Linked DNA regions of Lytechinus pictus. The protein of the gene in region 2 purifies or fractionates together with the protein of the main gene of each other region. This does not show direct contact. Links are inferred from orthologs where the notes say so. Each region holds a gene or a part of one and is shown on either strand. Other genes may lie near its edges.

Region 1 (3,759 bases), on a different chromosome or scaffold from region 2:
CAAGTGCCAATCACAATGGTGTTCTGGTAAGGTTCTCCAAGTCTGTGCAGTCACCCATGTCTGCATGCATGCCTATCTGCACGATTCTAATACTAGTAAAAGAAGATACACAACGATAAAAAACTTTACACCTGCAATACATAGACAGATATTCATTAAAAAATCTGACTCAAAATGGTGGAAAATACTTAATTTTAGGCATTTCATCTGACGGCCTCAACACGCTGCCTTCTTCATCAAAATCCCTGAATCGTGTGTAAAGTGAATGGGTGTGCAGACATGGGGCACCATTTCTTTTTTAATCTGAAAATGACTGGCCATTATCTATTTCCAATTTTTATGAGATTTTTGGCACACTTCCTCATAAGCATATAAGGAACTTTATCAATGGAAAAAGTATTGTGGAATTAAAACAAATTCATGTTAAATTAAAAATTACATAATTAGGTGCGCAGACATGGTGCCCACCTTCATACTATTACAAATTCTATTCATCTGTCAATCGTCTTCCAAGCAAAGTAAGTGTTATATATTACAAAGTCTTTTAATTCTTGAAACCAGATGTCGACGTGGCAGATGGACGATATGGTTGTGCATTGTGGTCAGTTTTTTTGCAATTTTACAGGAGTATTTCCAATAATTGTGATTGAGTTTAGATGTTGTTTTGTAATAAGGCCATCTAATTTACATGTACCTGTGTCATGGTAAGAAAATTCTTTGACAAGTTTGAGAGTATTACTAATACTTCAACAATTATCATTTAGTGCATGTATACCTACATGTATAGTGTATGTTCAGAAAATATAAAGTTTCCTTCTACAAAGTTCTAGGCCTACTAACCTTAGCTGACTCAATCAGTGTCTGTAGTGGTAGGTCTAATTACAAAAGTTTTTGGTTTGACCCAAGTACGGTACTCTTGCCTATCATTAGGGTGTCTGAAGCCACACTGAAAAGTGTCAGCTTAAAACAGGCTGATTTAGGGGAAAATATGGCAAATTTTTTCTGGAAATTCAGGCTGCTATAAAAATGTGATCTGAATTAATTATTAAAGGTCAAGTCCACCCCAGAAAATTGTTGATTTGAATCGATAGAGAAAAATCAAACAAACATAACGCTGCAAATTTCATCGAAATCGGATGTAAAATAAGAAAGTTATGACATTTTTAAGTTTCGCTTATTTTTCACAAAACAGTTAAATGTACAACTCAGCGATATGCAAATGAGAGAGTCGATGATGTCCATCACTCACTATTTCTTTTGTTTTTTATTGTTTGAATAATAAAATATTTCAATTTTTACAAATTTGACAATAAGGAACTGTTAAGATAATGGTAATTCCACATGTTCAGGGAGAAATAAAACTTTGTTTCACTTGACAAGGAGGAGAAAATTAGAATATTTTATGTTTCATATAATGAAATAGAAAATAAATAGTGAGTGGGTGACGTCATCAGTCTGCCAATTTGCATACTGAATAGGATGTGCATATAACTGTTTTGTGAAATTAAGCGAAACTTTAAAATGTCATAACTTTCTTATTTTACATCCGATTTTGATGAAATTTTCAGTGTTTTGCTAGTTGGATTTTTCTCCTTTTTTCAAATCAACTTTTTGTTAGGGTGGACTTGTCCTTTAACTTGTATTTGGCATGTATGGAAAGAGAAAATTCAGGGGCTTCTTTTAACAGTAAGGACAAGTTTATAGGATTATTTGAAATGAGGATTTAGAGATAAATTGCAAACCCTTATTTGTGTGTGTGTTGAGATTGCCATTTCCCCATGCGTTTTCTATGGGAAAATGAAATTTTTGTTTTGCACAAATTTGTTCACTTTGTCGCAATTTTTCATAGTGATCTGGTTTTCAAATCTTTATAAAAATCATACCATCAGAAAGAGCATAAAAATTCATATTAGGCACTTTATGGACAAGTTTTTGGCATTAATAATGAATTTATAAGTTTTTATAACAGCTCTCGGAAGCTAAAAATTTGGATTTGTGTGTGTCCATTTATTAACTACACAGTCTATGGCAAGGAAATGCTGAAAATTGACCTAATTTCATTCTTCTTTTTTGCAGCAAATAATTGGATTTAAACAAAAAATGTTATATTTCTGTCAGTCTGATGGTTAATTCTCTTCAAATTCACAAAAAAATGTGATATTTTCTTGAAATAAGAAAAATATTTCTTTTCTCCAGACACCCTAACTTCCCTATCATTAAAAAGGCTAAAGTTAGTACAAATGAACAACCAATTCAGTGAAAATTAACAAAAACAACAAAACAATCATGATTACACATGTAGATCTTAAACGTTTTAGCCTTTGCCAGACACAAGAAGATGTTTTAATAACCAAATAAGGAAATCCACGCACGGCAATGACTATTGATAAGCTCTGCTGGAGCTCCGCCCACTTCTCATTTCCATTGATTTATCACGAGTGCAATGTTTAAACGTACTCACAGCTCAGTCCCGAATGTGCATTTTTGTGTATTGTATTCAGGCTTCCTCTATTCAATTTCCCAACATTCCCTTAAAAATCAACACAAATATATAATCATAAATATCATTCACTCACTCAAAACTTCGTTTCATTACCTGCATGATTTCTATATACTTTAGATAACTGGGAGAGACTCAGATGCTTCGCAAATAGAATAAATAAGAACTCTCGTTTCTCGGGTTCGAGAGATAGTATTTCCGCCTCAGCTAGATATCGATACTATGCAGCAGCGCTATCGATCACGATTTTGTTTTTGTTTTACTTGCACGTTCAGTGCAAAAAAAATATAAGTGCAATCCTTTAAAATTTTGTTTTGTCACATTTTTTAAGAATTAATATCCTCCTTGTATATGCTTGACAGGTCAGTGATAGTCATGATCCAGGTGAATAACTACACTGGGATATGGGGTCACGTGCCCCCCAAAAAAAAAAATTAAAAAAAATTGCTAGCATGCAAACAGGAGTACCTGAGAAAAGAAAGAGAAACATTGTCAAAAATAGGAAAAGGAGTATATTATTTTTTTTTAGCAAAATCAACAAAGTGTATGAGATCTGACCCCCTTTTAGTTCTCACAAAAAATTGATCAAAGATCGACAAAGCGTCTAATTTGTATTCCAGCAGTTGAGTTCTAGCTCAGGGTATTTTTCTTTTTCATGCAAGCTTGGTCTGCCTTGCATATCATATCCCTCATCTTCAAGGCAAAGATAAGGTCACCATGCAGTCGTACGAATAAAGTCACAATTCCTACGTAAATGTATGCATAACTGAGGCTTTCAAACGCCCGGGTGTACACACATTCAAGAAATTAATTTTAAAAAAGAAGTAAATGCTGCCGTGTGAGAGGTGCAAAGCGAGCGAGAGGACCCCCGCCCCCATCCGGAATAAAAAGAAGAGAAAATTAAACTTTTCGATATGACAAGCAATCAATGTCAGTTAATACCGTGACCCAACTATTACCTTGTGATTTTCATGGCCCTGCATGGGATGCGGGGGTGCTGAAGATTTTCCTTGGGGGTGCTGCGTCTAGCTGATTATAGGCAGCACTCCCATAAATTATTGTAGGTGTTAAAAAATGGAAACATGTTATCAAACTGACCTATATTTTGTAGTGAAACCCATTTTTATTCTACTTTGGGGTGCTTGTCAATATTTTCGAGACCGAAGAAACATGTTTGTGAACCCCCCCCCCCCTTTTGGGGAATTGTTTTTTTTTTTATTCTCGCTTGCTTGTCAAAATGTACATCAGCAACCCCACCC
Region 2 (3,759 bases):
CAGAGTCTAACATTACTTTTCTTCTTAATCATAGGTGGCAGAGATATATGTGCCGTCTATAGCTGCAAGAATTACCACAGATTTTATGAAGACAAGTGCAATTTTCTTTCATTTTCGCGCACTGTCTGTGCGTATTTTGAGCTGTGCAGCTGCTGTGTGCTTTGAATTGTATGCACGGACAGCGGGCATGCACTCTCGGCCCAGGGGTACGTCGGCGAGGCAGTGGAGGAAACTGGTCCCAGAATTCCAAGCAATAATAAAATGATGATCAATAAAACAAACTCTGCAGTAGATTTGATTACTTTATTCTAGTGTTATATTTTTGTAATATCAATCGATAGTCAAGAATACATGTTTCATAAATAATTATCTCAATCATGATTTTATTCAGAGTAGGCCTATAAACCGAGCTGTGTTTTCTTTTTCTCTCCACAGATAGGCTACATAATATTATTGCAAATTATTCAGGATCGTGGTCGGACATTCTGAAGTTTTATAAGTGGCATGCATAGACAAAATAATGAATGAAATATAACAAAAAATGAGAATAGATGAAAGTATATTGATAGAAAAATAAGCAAAAAAAATAAGAAAAAAGAATTTAATGAGGAAGGTGATCTGAAAGAGAAGTGACTGAATGCGATGAAATTAATTGAATATGTAAATGTTGAAATAAGATTTATTTCAAAAGAATGGAATATATATCATTTATATGAATTAAATATCCAGTTTCAGACAAAATAAAATTACAGAGGTTTGAGGGATAGGGCCTATACGGGATCATAAAATGTTTTTAATTTTATTAAAACTTAAAATGTTTTAAATTTAAATAAATTCAGATTTATAGTATTCTGCATGTCATAGGCCTATTATATATATATAAATATATATATATATATATATATATATATATATATATATATATATATATATATATACTAGCTTATTTTTGGCTTTAGATTTGTCTCATGCACCCCCTATATAGAAATTGTATGATCAAACTAAACAGCCCGACTTGCAAAAAAAGGACTATATTTCCCCCAAAATAACAAAAAACTTGGCTAGCTAAATTTATATGGAGATATATGGTCTACATTATGTTTCTCATGAATATTCTTTAATGGAAAAATATGCTATCTAATTTGGATCACCGATCGACGTGCTCTTTTCTAAAGACGATCGGCAATGACCCGCAATCACTTTTCCCACAAAATCTTCCCAAGTTTAGCCCCAGAAAACTTCGAAAATACGGTGAGTATTGAGTTCATACTTTCACTGGGCAATCATGATACAAAGATTGTTCTATAAATCTACATTCAAGTATCCAAAATAATTTAAATACGAAGAAATAAGACTTAAAAAAAACCCTGGATTTTGAGTGACACTACACAAAACATATGGCGTTGTATGGCTTCCCGAAAGCCGATTCCGCGTTTGCCCCCTTTCGCATCTCGTCATCCTCTGCGATGACAGACGCCCTCACGCGACAGACGCTATTTGCGATAAGGTCTATGAACAAGGTTGTGATGGCTATGGCCAAAGCAACGGCAGTCCTCTGAGCTCTGCCTTCGCCTGACCGACTTGACTAGCCCTGCGGCTTGCTCGCGCGGGTAGGCGCTACCTATCGCTAGCTAGCTCATTCATACCGCCGGCCGGCCCGATACAGGGTCAGTTGGCAAACGTGAACAAGGAACACCTTGACAACGGAAAGACGATCGATAATTACTACCACCACCTACACACCAGTAAATCAAATCATCAAATTGAACTCACAGGTACATGCAATCATTATCTATTCTTTCACAACCTCGGATAATTCTGGAGAGGAATAATACTCACTTTAGCTCCATCTTTCAGCATTTGGGCAAAGCCCGGTGCACGAGGTATGTTCATCGCCATGTTGAACTTCGGATGTAGTTAGTTGAGATAGATGTCTGAACAGCCGTTTTCTTGTACAATTTTATTATTACAAATCATTGGTATCCTTATTTACACGTGCATATTTTAGAGATAAATCCTTTTCATGTATAATAGCAATATTCAATTCTGTAAAAAAAATCTCTAATTAAAAAGCAAACAGAACATGACTAACTTTTATGTCAAATGACAATACTCGATGTACATGAAGGAGGAAACAACTGGAGAAAGACTATTCGCAAAAGCATGTTCTAGAAAAAAAAGTGAGTCACGGCGCGGCCGTCAGTCAGCTAGTGCAGTTATACAGTGCGTCCCAGAAAAAACGAAACCGAGATTTCGCGATGATTTATCATATCTTAAAGGACAAGTCCACCCCAACAAAAACTTGATTTGAATAAAAAGAGAAAAAATCAACAAACATTACACTGAAAATTTCATCAAAATCGGATGTAAAATAAGAAAGTTATGACATTTTAAAGTTTCGCTTATTTTTTACAAAATGGTTATATGAACGAGCCAGTTACATCCAGATGAGAGAGTCGATGACGTCACTCACTCACTATTTCTTTTGTATTTCATTATATGAAATATGAAATATTTTGATTTTCTCGTCATTGCCATGTGAAATGAAGTTTCATTTCTCCCTGAACACGTGGAATTCCATTATTTTAACATTTTGTTCTTCAGGCAAGGAGGTCCTAATCATCAAATTCGTAAAAATTGAAATATTGTATAATTCAAACAATAAAAAACAAAAGAAATAGTGAGTGAGTGACATCATCGACTCTCTCATCTGGATGTAACTGGCTCGTTCATATAACTATTTTGTTAAAAATAAGCAAAACTTTGAAATGTCATAACTTTCTTATTTTACATCCGATTTTGATGAAATTTTCAGCATTATGCTCGTCTGATTTTTCTCTATTCATTCAAATCAACATTTTTCTCAGGTGGACTTGACCTTTAATCATAAATTTGATAGACAAATGACATAGGCGGATCCAGCTTTTGGCGAAGGGGGGGGGGGCGTACTGCCGAGCGGCGCACATATTTTTGTACTTCACCGGCGCCATAAAAGAAAATGTTGAAAAAGGGGTAAAGTCTTTGCTGGGGGATAGTCTTTCCTTGACTGTTGCTAATATTATATCAGTGTATAATTTTTTTAAGCGGCGCCTTTTCTTTTCTTTTCTTTCCTTTATTTTTTATTTTTCTAAGCGGCGCCTTTTCTTTCTTTTACTTTTCTTTTATTTTTTTTTTGAGCGGCGCCTTCGGCGCTGCTCAAATATTAGGGGGGGGGGCATGCGCCCCCTGTATCCGCCACTGCAATATACCATTTGGCCATAGGATACAAAGGCAACATACAAGATAACAACCAGACAATTTGATTTCGCGATAAATGTTATACAACATCATTTGCAGTGACATGCACATTCGTGTAATAACAACTTGATCTAACACCACGTAGTATATCTGATAAGAAAATATAAAACCAAGTAGTTATAACACGAAAGTTCCTCTTAGAGTGATGTCATCTTACTTTACCACCCCCATAAGCGCAACAAAACAGTAAATATAAGAGGTCTACCTTTTTTTACTGATAATGCATTTTATCTGTATATCAGTGCAAAATTCGAATGAATCGCGGCCTGCTCTATGTGCCCCCTCTTCAACAAAATTCTGGACCTGCCCAATGCTCTCAAGTATGGATGGAAAGCCATCTATTTACGTTTGCATGAATCATAGTTATTGATTTGCTAAATATCATTAAATTGAATTGGATTGAATAATCTAAAAGTCCACGTTCTATTCCACTATTTTTTTCTACAAGGCCATTCTGCCTGG

What was found. The genes of interacting proteins can lie anywhere in the genome.
Region 1: the proteins of T-complex protein 1 subunit theta-like (region 2) and viral IAP-associated factor homolog purify together in Homo sapiens (affinity purification with mass spectrometry; 3 studies listed by BioGRID and IntAct, with this or other methods). This does not show direct contact. The link is inferred for Lytechinus pictus from reciprocal best matches to the Homo sapiens genes CCT8 and PDCL3.

The regions. Positions count from the first base shown.
Region 1 is NC_087245.1:32,495,724-32,499,482, reverse strand, and holds the start of viral IAP-associated factor homolog, read right to left. Parts: upstream 2,754-3,759; 5' UTR 2,603-2,753; coding exon 2,597-2,602; intron 1-2,596. UniProt on the Homo sapiens protein: Acts as a chaperone for the angiogenic VEGF receptor KDR/VEGFR2, increasing its abundance by inhibiting its ubiquitination and degradation.
Region 2 is NC_087248.1:14,145,118-14,148,876, forward strand, and holds the start of T-complex protein 1 subunit theta-like, read right to left. Parts: upstream 2,226-3,759; 5' UTR 1,900-2,225; coding exon 1,840-1,899; intron 1-1,839. UniProt on the Homo sapiens protein: Component of the chaperonin-containing T-complex (TRiC), a molecular chaperone complex that assists the folding of actin, tubulin and other proteins upon ATP hydrolysis.